3 linked regions of the Alligator mississippiensis genome follow. The protein of the gene in region 1 interacts with the protein of each later gene in a pairwise test. Links are inferred from orthologs where the notes say so. Each region holds a gene or a part of one and is shown in the gene's direction. Other genes may lie near its edges. The genes, in order: MID2, CCDC120 and TSGA10.

What was found.
Region 2: the proteins of MID2 (region 1) and CCDC120 interact in binary tests that used the Homo sapiens proteins (3 or more experiments, as listed by UniProt). The link is inferred for Alligator mississippiensis from reciprocal best matches to the Homo sapiens genes MID2 and CCDC120.
Region 3: the proteins of MID2 (region 1) and TSGA10 interact in binary tests that used the Homo sapiens proteins (3 or more experiments, as listed by UniProt). The two-hybrid records come from large-scale screens. The link is inferred for Alligator mississippiensis from reciprocal best matches to the Homo sapiens genes MID2 and TSGA10.

Annotation. Positions count from the first base shown.
Region 1 is NC_081831.1:38,494,950-38,498,693, forward strand, and holds the start of MID2 (probable E3 ubiquitin-protein ligase MID2), read left to right. Parts: upstream 1-1,532; 5' UTR 1,533-1,808; intron 1,809-2,148; exon of another isoform or gene 2,149-2,317; intron 2,318-2,333; exon of another isoform or gene 2,334-2,704; intron 2,705-3,744. UniProt on the Homo sapiens protein: E3 ubiquitin ligase that plays a role in microtubule stabilization. Mediates the 'Lys-48'-linked polyubiquitination of LRRK2 to drive its localization to microtubules and its proteasomal degradation in neurons.
Region 2 is NC_081831.1:28,697,608-28,701,351, forward strand, and holds the start of CCDC120 (coiled-coil domain-containing protein 120), read left to right. Parts: upstream 1-1,002; 5' UTR 1,003-1,376; intron 1,377-2,505; exon of another isoform or gene 2,506-2,861; intron 2,862-3,296; 5' UTR 3,297-3,346; coding exon 3,347-3,380; intron 3,381-3,744. Other genes in the region: TFE3 (transcription factor E3), read right to left, coding at 96-202. UniProt on the Homo sapiens protein: Centriolar protein required for centriole subdistal appendage assembly and microtubule anchoring in interphase cells. Together with CCDC68, cooperate with subdistal appendage components ODF2, NIN and CEP170 for hierarchical subdistal appendage assembly.
Region 3 is NC_081824.1:342,983,886-342,987,629, reverse strand, and holds the start of TSGA10 (testis-specific gene 10 protein), read left to right. Parts: upstream 1-1,459; 5' UTR 1,460-1,617; coding exon 1,618-1,665; intron 1,666-3,744. UniProt on the Homo sapiens protein: Plays a role in spermatogenesis. When overexpressed, prevents nuclear localization of HIF1A.

The DNA of each region.
Region 1 (3,744 bases):
TGCACAGTAAAATAGGCTACTGTGCATTAAAGCACACATGTAGATGCATCCAGTGAAAACTGTAAGTGCTTTGACTCCACTCAAATAGTCAGGGAGGCAGCTAACATGTACCAGTTATACCACTATGAAAAAGCAGGGAGGAAAGCCACAGTGACTTAAGGGCATAGGTGGAAATAAAACCTAGGTTCTGTGCTCCAAGGACCTCCTTCAAATCACTAATACAATCCCTTCCTGCTTCACCCTAAAAGCAACATAGGTTCAAGGCTTAGACATGTTTCTTAGCGTATTTATTTGTAAAGAAACAAATTCCTTATTTATCAAATATAAATAATGTTTGACCTGGATTTGCATTATGGAAGAATAAATATATCACTGGGTCGCCCATCCTCGTTTCCCTTGGGTGTTACAAGTAGATGTACTTTATAAATAGCAATAACAATGCACATGTATCCAAGACTTTTTCTAATGTATTAAAACGTACAGTACATCAGGACATCACCACCCTTTTCTGAACCAGAAAGTAAGAAAAAAGCGAATCTATTTCTCAGTTGTATCTGCCAATGGAAAAGCAAACATATTAAAAGACTCACTGCAAAGAAATTGAATCTCAACTTAAAGTATCTCCTCTACTGTAATAATGAATAATAAAACACCCCATGGATCTCATTTAAAGCCTTTGCCTGACATGTGTGCGTGTGACTACCTTTATAATCATTACTGGCCTGTGAACAAGGAAAAAAATGTTCTTTAATGTTCCATTCCCACTCCTTTTTCTCATGCGGAGTGTGATAACAACTGGATAGTAGGAAACCTTGACTTCAATTGTGTAAACTCATCCTGCAGGAATGCCCTTGGCAATAGGGTGGGGTTGGACACAGGATCCTGCCCAGATCTGCTGGCAGGATCAGTTCTTTTTTATTGGCCCGGTGGAGCAAAGCTCTAAAGAATGGCACTGGCTCGGAGAATCTTGGTTTAGTATCACACAGCAGCAGGGTGGGAAGGGCCCTCAGGAGGTCATCCAGCGCAGCCCAAGCCCAAGCCCCTGCTCAAAGCAGGACCTGCCCCAACTACTTCCTTCGAGCACTGAGCTGGGGGAGGAGAGTGTCAAAGCATGCAGTTGTTCCTGACCGTGCCTGGCCTGTGAAGGGCGATGAGGGGCCACAGCTGTTTGTTCCTCTGGGTCTCAGCTGTTATTAAACGGAAAGGAAAAGAGGCTGTTTAGGGCCAGTTACAGGGAAAACCTGGAGTGTACATACCACGCAGCCGCCTTCCTGCCTTTGCAGGGAGCCTGGCACAGTCACTCTGAGGCGCTGACTGCCCCGTTCATGGCAGCGAGTGCTACAGCAGCCGCGAGGCTCCTTTCTGCAGCAGCCCGGCTGAAGACCGCTGCTTGCCAGCCGTGCGGGAGCGGAAGAGGCAGCTCCCGGGAGCCTGGCAGCTGTGGGGGGCGTCCGGGCGGACTCCCTCACCGCACTGCTCGCGCCCCCTGGGCTGCCCGGAGGCGGCGGCCCGGGGGGCTGGCGGGAGGGCTTCCCGCGCCGGTGTCCGGGGAGGGGCCCGGACGGGACAAGCTTCCCGCCAGGGCCGGCAGCGCCCTCACCTGCGGCGGGAGCGGCGGCGGCGGGGACGGAGCGCGGCTGCCTCCTCCCTCGCTCGCTCCCTCCCCCTGCTCCCTCCTCCCCGCCCGCGCTCCTCGCTGCCTCCCTCGCCCGCGCCGCTCCCGCTCGCCGGCTCCCCCGCGCCGTCCCCCTCCTGCGCCTCCAAGATGCCCGGGCAGCGGCGGGGCGGCTGCTGGAACCGGCTGGTAGGTAGGAGCCCCCCGCGCTGCGCTGCGCTGCGCTGCGCTGCGCTGCCGGCCCCGGGGACACGCCCGGCGGGGGAGGTCGGGGCGGGAGCGCAGCCGGGCGCCGAGAAGCGGCGGCGGTGCCGGTCGTCCCCCGCTCCGGGCAGGCCGTGAGGCTCCGCGGACAGTTGCGGGCCGCCCGCTCCCCGCCTCCGCAGGGCGAGGGCGATGCTGCGGAGCTGCTGCCTGCGGCCGGGAGGGGAGGGGGGGCACCGTGTGGTGTCCGCGCTTGGGGGAGGAAGGGGTTAACCGTGCATGCCCGGGGGTGCTGCCCTTCCTGGAAGGGAGTGGGGTAGTCTCGGTTATGGCGGGGTGGATGCGACTCTCCGGGATATCAGGCTGCCACAGCCCCCAGCCCGTGCGCACACCGCCCGCAGCCCAGGGGCTGCCTTCTCCGCATTGGCGGCGAGCGCTGCGAGGGAGCCGCGGTGAAACCCGAGCCGGGCCCGGCTGCCGCGTGGTTCGGGTCTGCGTGTGGGTTGCTTGTTTGTTTGCGTTTGCCATTTCCGGCCTGTTTGTGTCATGGAGCTCGATTAAAATCCTTTCTCTTCTGGGCGAGTCTTCCCTGGGGTGGGTAGGTCAGAGAGACACGGGGCCGAAGTGATCACCCCTCCCCTCTCCCCCCACTTCTTCTTTTCTCACCCTCTTCTTGCTTCCTAAATACCCAGCCTGCCTCCTGCAAAGCGCGAGGGCAAAAGCTTTCAAGCAGCTTCTGTGGGGAGGAAGGCTCCATTAGTGCGCACTGCTAGAGCTGCCCAGCTGTTCTCCACCCCCTCCCCCACCCCCCGACAAGGAAGCTGGATACATCCTGCAAATCCAGATTACACCCGTGGAAGTAAAGACACCTCATTTCCTTTTCAGGTATTACTGTTGGCTCTGAAATGCTAAAGTTGGGAATAGCTTTATAATTCAATCATCAGCTGGCTGCTGGTAGCTTTTCTGATCTCGGTCCCTGAGCCAAGCAAAGTTCTCACTCAGCCACTTATACGCTCCTGGTACTGCCTGAATTCTCAATCATGATTTCTCTCTCACTCTCTCTGATTTTATTTTTCAGGGGGAGTCTGAATTTGTATCCTTTCTATCTTTTGCTTTAGAGACTAAATTTTAAAATGACACATTTTAGTTTCAAGCTTCCCTGGTTGCCAGCAGGGAGTCTTGTAGAGCTTGGAGCCTTGTACAGTAAGTATACTGTCTGCTTGCCTCAGATTTCATTGCTAACCATGTTCTACAGCTTTAGTGGCAATAAAGGTTAGTTAAATGTGAGTTAATGGGTTTCTTGTTATTTAGTCAGCTTTCTTCTGAAGTTGACAGCAAGGTGAGAGAAAATTCATGCCTATAAGGACAGTAATAATAATTTTATGTGGTGAAGTCCATAACCAGCTGGTATTTTAAATAATATTTTACTGTTGTGTTTCATTGGCTTTCTGTTCTTTGACTGACTATTACTGGTTTTGAAATGCGGCAAAGCGTGATTGAAGTAAATATCCGACAAGGTAGAAATGTGTCCGAGTTAACACTGTTTTAAGTTCTAGTCTTCAGGCTCTACTTGTGCATTTGGTATCAACCATGTATTCTATGCCTATAATGCAGGCCATTCTAGATGTTTCCAAGGTAGTTCAACCTCACGGGTTGCACAAATTTCTGGGGATTTTATTTGGGACTTCTGTTTTGGTGTCCCATCATTTTCTCAAGCCCTAGGTGCTAATGCGTTAAGCACCGCCTCTTTCTTTTTGACTGTGGTCCAGGTCTGCTCCCTCTCTAAAACAAATTGTGATCCTTTCCATTTGGTTTTTGTTAGTGACTTCAGGCAGATCATCCCCATTCACGCATCTGCCACAGCCCAACCAGGTTTCCAGATTGCATGCTCTAGAATTCGGCATAGGCATGGAGTTGTTGGTGTG
Region 2 (3,744 bases), about 9.8 Mb from region 1:
GAATTAGGGGTGCCCGTGGGGTAGGAAAGTGGGGCTGCGGATCAGGAGTGAGGGGCACCGCTAAGGGGGGCTGGGGGACCCCCGTCCCCGCTTACCTGAGCAGCTGCCCGGCGTGGTCCGGCTCCTGCAGCAGCACGTAGACGGTTTTGGGGGGCAGCTCGGGGGGGGGGCGTTGGGACCCCTCCCCCGCCCCATGGGACATCCTCCCCCGCCCCCTCCTCTGGCCCTGCCCCCCTTACAGCGGCAGCAAACCCTGTTTTCAGGGCCAAGAGGGGCCCGATCCGGCCTGGGGGACCCCGAAAAGCCAAAGCTACGGAACCGCCGAGGCGATAAACAGCGCGGGGTGGGGGGGGAACTCCACGGGAAGTGACGTCAGGCGGGGAAGCACCCCCCCCTTATTGACATAGCGGGGTGCCCCAAGGGGGGTCCCCGACTACCACGGGACGGTGCCCCTCACTCCGACCTGCAACCCCCCTCGCCATAGTCCTGCGGTGCCCCCGACCTGCAGCCTCCGGATCCCGCGGTCCTTCTCACTCCCGACCCGCACCCCATCGCAGCCAGCGGTCTCCCTCATTCCCGACCCGCAGCCCCCCCAGTATAGTGCTGGCAGTGGCCAGCAGAGGGGGCTCGTTTTCCAGTGTCTCTGTCAGGGGGGCATTGGCTATGCTTGTATGCACTGGGGGGAGGGAAGGGCAGGCAGAGAGCCCAGACGCCCGGGTTCTCTGGCAGAGGAATGGGGGCTGGTTCTGGGACTAGGAGGTTTGGGAACCCAGGCACCCGGGTTCCTTAACAGGGAAGTCAGCTGAGAGCTTGGACACCTGGGTTCTCTTGGACAGGACTTGGGGCGGGGGGAGTGCTCTGTACTCGGATTCCTGGGTTCCTTGTCATGTATAGGGAGGGACGGGTACCCAGACGCCTGAGTTCCCCGAGTGCGCCCCGCCCCCGGTTGCCATGGCGACGTTGCGCCGGCGCAGACGGACCCACTTTCCTCCCCAGCACCAGGAGGGTTAACCCCCACCCCCAGCTGCAGCCAGCGCCGGGGCCCCGGACGCTTGGGTTCTTCCTCGCACCTCTTCCTCGGACACCTGGGTTCTCTGCCTGGATCCTCGATCTGCAGCCTCTACTATAGCTCCCCGGTGCCCTCCACTCCCTGCCCGGAACCCGCCTCCTCCCCCCGCCATAGTCCGGCGGTGCCCCTCACCCACGACCCACATCCCTTCCATCACCACCACCAATCTCGGGCGCCTGGGTTCCTACCTCCCGGCCTGGACCTGCCCCCCGTCCCGCAGAGCGGGGGTTTTGGGGGTGGGAGGATAGATCCGTAAACCCCTCCCCAGGGACCTCTCCCCCACCGAACCCGGAGACTGCAGAGTGAGGTAAGGCGGGAGGGAGCCCGGGACGCCTGGGTTCTCGCGGGGGAGGGGCTAGGGACTGAGAGCAGGGGAGGCTGGGAGCCAGACTCTTGGGTTGGAGGGGCTGGGATCCTGGACACCTGGGTTTTCGGGGGCTGGGGGGAGAGAGCCCAGATGCTTGGGTTTTTGTGGGGAAGGGGGGATCCCCAGATTTTGCAGGAAGGACAATGGGCTCTTTTCCCATCAAAGATGGGGAGAGAATCCAAGCATCTGAGCTCCCAGCCCCCAACTCTCCCCTTGGGGAACCCTGTCATCAGGGTGACTCACAGTCCCCACCCAGGGCCTGGCAGGCACCTTTGTCCCAAACTAGGATGAATCAGGGCAGGTGATGCAACCACCTCTGGGGTGGGGCATCCAGGATGTAGAACAACCCTGGGGAAGGACCCAGAGGTGCCCAGCTCTGGGGTGGAACAACCCAGTATAACAAGGCCTAATATAGGCCGAGATGTGCCCATCTCTGGGGTGGCCATGGCCGGGGAACAGCCAAGTATAACCAGGCCCATGTTGTCCAGTAGTTAGGAACAGCCAAGTATGACAAGTCTTAGATGCACCCAGCTCTGGGGTGGGGAAGTCAGGGAATGGTTGAGTATAATAAGACAGAGGGAAGGCCCAGATGCACTCAGCTCAGGTCCAGCAGCCCAGAATGAGGAAATATAACAAGGGGCCCAGATGCACCTAGCTCTGAGGTGGAAACACCCAGGGCCTGACCCCATTTCTTGCCTCAGGAAGGCCCTAGGTGACCAGTTCCAGACTGGGGCCCAGTCACGGGGCCATACTAGGAGCAGGGCCAGGACAGTGCTAAAGGGGGAGGACCTCAGGTTAGCCCCTGAACAGGAGACAGCAGTGTGGAAGCTGGAGATGGGGTCAAGTGCTGGGAGTCCAGATGCCTGGGTTCTCTGGGCATGGGGTGAGGTTGGCGGTGGCTGGGAGCCCAGACACCCAGGTTCTTTGGGAGAGGAGTGAGACCAAGGGGTGCTGGGATCCCGAATACCTGCATTGGGGGGGGGGGGGGAGTTGGAAGCCTGGATACCTGGGTTCTCTGGGAGGGAAGTGGAGACTAGTGGTTGTAGCAGGGGTAGGGCTGGGAGCTTGGATGCCTGGGTTCCTTAGGAGAGAGTGGAATCTGGGAATGCAAGACCAGGGGTGGCTAGGAGCCTGGACACCTGGGTGGGGAGCAGGGTTTGAGACCAGGAGGGCTTGGACACCTGGGTTCTCTGGCTAGGGGATGGGGGTGTACTGAGTGAGACCAGAGGAGCTGGGATCCCGGATGCCTGGGTTCTACAAGAGGGGTTGAATTGGGGGCTGGGCGCCGGAAGCACGACGTGGAGGCACGAGCAGGAAGCCGCCACCTGGAGCCTTCAGGGCGAAGGACGTGTTGGCCTGGAGCGGGGAGGGGGCCAGACTCCTGGGTTCCGCGGCCCCTGCGCCAGGAGCCTCCCTGATTCCTGGGTCTGTTGCACAATAGGTTTGCGGGGTGGGCACCTGAGTTCCCTGGGAGGGTCCGGAGACTAGGAGCTCGGACGTCTAGGTCCTCCAAGGGGAGGGGGCCCAGGACGCCTGGGTTCTTGGGGGATGACGGGGGCCCGCACGCCTCGGCTGTCCAAGAACAGGGACTCTCGGAGGAACTTGAGGGGGGGAGCTCAGACACCTGGGTTTTCTTGGGGGTGTGGTATAGGGTCTCTGACGCCTGGGTCTTCTGCGGGGGTGGGGAAAACCAGGGTCTAGAATGCGTGGGTCCTCTGGGGTGAGGAGGGGGCTGCAAGCCCGGCTGCCTGGGTTCTCCAAGAGGGGTGAGCAGGGACCCGGACGCCTGGGTTCCCTGCGGGGCCGGGACTCCTGACTTCCTATCTGCTCAGCCTCTCTGCCGTCCCCCACCTCCCGCAGGCACCGGCTCTGTCCCGGCGTCATGGATTTGGGGGCGTCGTGACCCCGGCATGGAGGTCAAAGGGCAACTCATCACCTCTGCAGGTAAGGAATGCCCCGCCTCGCCCAAGCCACGCCCCCTTGTTCCCTCCATATCCCGCCCTCCTAGCCCTCTGTGCCTTAATGTAGTCCTCATCCGGCCCCCCCCCCACTATGATCCACACCAGCTAGTCCCGCCCCCTGCTGCCCTTCTATGGTCCGACCTGGCTAACTCCGCCCCTTCTGCGTTGCTTCGTTCTTCCTGGCTAGCCCCGCCCCCTGTGCCCTTACATAGTCCTCTCTCCCCACCTTCTGTCCTAATGTGGTCTTCCCTGGCTAACCCCACCCTTATGTGGTTCCGCCTCCTGATTGGCTACTCCCACCTCTCTAAACTAACTCCACCCTCTAGCAGGCCCCTCCCCATCTCCCA
Region 3 (3,744 bases), on another chromosome or scaffold:
CATGTTGGCCTCGTCAGCCATCGTTGACCCACAGGTAAGGTAATTCTGGAAGACAGGAATCCTTCACTATGACGGATTGCTGAAGAAGAAATATTTACTCACGTAAAATAGTATTGTGGATCAAACACATGGCCCTGAATAAAGAGCTGAGATTAGGCTGGATTTTGCTCCATAGTCCCTTTCTGTGTAACCCCAAACCATGCGTCTCCTGCCTGGCATTCATCAAAGAAACCCTCAGGGGGTGACGTGTAGTCTGGGATGACCTGAAAAGGATTTTGCCCCTAATCCCAGCCTACTCCCAGCTCCTTATTCTGGGCTGCACACTAGCTCCGTGGGGATTCTTCTACATTTTTATGCATGAACATACATGTCTGGGGTGTTGGTTACAGCCGTGTTGGTCAAAGCTAGGGGTGAGCAAAATGCGGCCCGCAGGCCAGATGCAGCCCGCCAGGTCATTCTATCCGGCCCGCGGGGCCCCTAAAAAATTTAGAAAATTAATATTTATCTGCCCCTGGCTGCCTGTCATGCGGCCCTCCACGGCTTGCCAAAACTCAGTAACCGGCCCTCCACCTGAAATAATTGCCTGCCCCTGCTCTAAGCACACAGGCAGACAAGGTTTCTTGGGTAAATCTGATCTCATTAGACCAGCTCAAATAGTTGGAAAAAATCATCTCTGCAAGCTTTGGGGTACAAACACCCTTCTTCAGCTGAAATACTTACTAATGTAAAATTATATCTTCAGATGAAGAAGGGTGTTTGTACCCCAGAGACAAATTTTCTCAACTGTTGTAATTGGCCTAATACAGGGTCTTCATAAAGTCCTTGTACACTTTTAAACTTTAATAATTTAGGTTGTAGGTATGATAGAAACAACCTGTAAGCGGCATTAAAAAGCAAATTTACTAAAGTTTTAGGACCACTACACTACACAATGCTAGACTTCAACATAACCACCATTTTCTTCTCACAGCTGATACAGACTTCAATTCTGCTAGCCACAGGCCACACTTTAACTTCTCATCTACACTACCGTAGCCATTTTTCGTTTGTCAATCTGAAATAAGAATAAACTTGTTATTACTTATGAAGTCTAGCCCTGTGTACTCCAGTGGTCCTAAAACTTTAATAAATTTGCTTTTAAATGCCGTTCACCGATTGTTTCAATCATACCTCCAACCTGAGTTATTAAAGTATCAATGTGCACAAGGACTTAATGAAGAGCTCAGATTTACCCAAGAGCCCTGCGCGTGCCTGGTGCACTTCCAGTGCTCGGCGCTGCCCAGCCCATCGCGAGCAGCTTGCACTTGCGCGCACAGGAGCTTTGCAAAAGGAGCCGGGAACACGAGGCGGGCTGCAGCCCCGAGCGCGCTGCCGTCATGGCAACGGGCGCCGGGCAACCCAACTGCCGCGCGGCCCATCCTGGCGGTAAGGCGGGAGCCGCGCCTCAAGGCCCCTCGCGCCAGCCCTGCGCCCCTCCCCTCCTCTCCCCCGACGGGGCAGAGCGCGGGCGGCCGTTGGGGGGCGGGGCGCGGAGGGGACCGCGCAGGTACCGCGGGGTGGGGCTGACACTGACCCCCCCTCCCCCACACGCGTGCACACCTCGGCGGGGCGGGCGGCATGAGCGGGCGGCGGCGGCAGCGGCGGGGAGCGGGTAGCCGCCTGCAGGTAGGTGCCCCCCCCGCCCGGGCTAGCTGCCCCCGGGGCGGGGGCGGCTGTGACCGGGCACATGCGGCTGTTCTGCTGCTTCTCCTCCCCTTCTCCTCCTTCCCTTCCCTTTTGCTCCTTTCCTTTCCTTCTCCTTGCCCTTGTGCAGGCCCCTGTCAGACCTGGGGGCAGTGACTCTCCACAAGGAGACTGCAGCCCCGGGGCTGCCCTGAGCGCCTTTGACGGGTGCCGCGGGATGCCTGCCGTACCGCATCAGCGCTGTCCGGTGCGCAAACCTGATTTGCAAGCTAAAGCACAAGCTGCCTTAGCAGCAGCCTGTCCCGGTGTGGTCTTTCTGAGCTCTCCCCAGTGAAAAAAAGGGCAACGTAGCTCCTTTTCCAACAGCGCTTCTTCTGCTTGGCTGTTTAGTTTAACCTGATGCTTCCCAAGCAAGGACACGCAGTGGAAGAACCTGGGGTGGCACGCCTTAATTTTAGGGTGCCGCACACAATTCGCACTCTTGGGCATGCAAGCCTCTACACATGATTCACTAGAGAAGCCCGGAGATTTCAAATAGGAATCTCCATAGCGTCAAAACTGCTCTGACCTGATGCCGGCTTTCTGAGTCCTTTGCAACTGAAGAGTTGCTCGATTATTTTTCTGTATAGTGAAAAGACAAATGGGAGCTCAGAGCTGGCATTTCCCATTGGGACCCTTGTTTCACCGGGGGTGCCTCAAGTCAAAAGTTGAGAACCACAGCCTTGAGCTTCCTTTTTGCAGAGAAACCACGGGTTTTTTTGCTTTGCTTTGGTTTTTTGGTTGGTTTGTTTTGGGGTTGTTTTTTTTGTGGGGGGGAGGTTGGACAGATATAGTTTGCCCACCTCTGGGGAAAGGTAGTTAGATGTTAGTTTGGAGTCAAGGTAGAATTTGCACTTTTAGACTAACTAAATAATGTATATGTATATAAAGCAGAAGCTTTTGTGAACTCATTGACTTAATTCAGTGCTGTAAAAGGATTAGCATAAAGCAGTGAAAAAAGTGGAGTGAGTGATTTGAATAAATTTGGGGTCCTGGTCATTGAAGCTCCTAACAAAGCCCTATTGAATCCAAAGAAAATGACCAGGTCTGGAATTGCTAGCATTTATCTTCTTTTTTTTCTGTATTTGTGTAAGAGTTGTTTGACCATGTTTGGTCAGATTTGTCAGTGAGTTCGTGGCAAGACCTTTTCTAAAGTTTTTCAATATAATTTCAGTGGTTATCTCAGGTCTGCCTCTGAAAAATCATAGCCTCTCCCTGCTGTGTCATCTCCTTTGAGATCCTTGAATTTGGCTCTTTCAGGGGTGTCAAATGTATGGCTCAGGCCTGTGGGGCTCCCAGAGAGACCAGGAATTCAGGGGCAGGGCAAGTGGAAGTCTGGGGCACAGAGCCCGGTTGGGGAGGCATGTCAGCTGCAGAGGAAAATGACTGCTGCCCCTCAAGCCCCCTTCCTCCACCCTTGACCTATGAAGAGCCCTGTGGTCTGAATCCAGCTCTGGGGGGGTGGGGTGAGTTAGACACCTGAGCTATATATACCATTCAGTACACCTGATCATCACTGCTCCACAGTTATCTATGAGAGCTCAATCTGGTAAATGATCATGTTCAAATGTTAAATTAAGCACTTTCGTAAATGTTTGCAGGTTCAGAGCATATTTTTGATGCGCACATCCCCCATTCACTCAATTTTGAATCATACTGGAATAATCAGTCTTGTTTTGCTGAAGGAATTGGCTTATTCAGAAGAATTAAACAATAAATAGCTTCTGAGAGGTACTATTTTGTGTCATTCCTTTTCTCTCATTTAGTGCAGGGGTATCCAACTTATTTGGTCCCATAGGCCAGATGAGGGGTGCTGGTCTGGTCTGTGGGCTGGATCAGGTTTACAGTCCAGCCCTGTGCATCAGGGCCAGTGCACAGGGCTGGTCTGACGTGTGCCGCTTGTAGCACACACCCTGTACTGGCCCTATGCACTGTGCAGAGCAAGCATTCTGATTCCACTCGTGCGTACCACAAGCAGCGTGTGCTGGCCCCAGCCCCATGTGCTGCACCCATAGGCTGCTC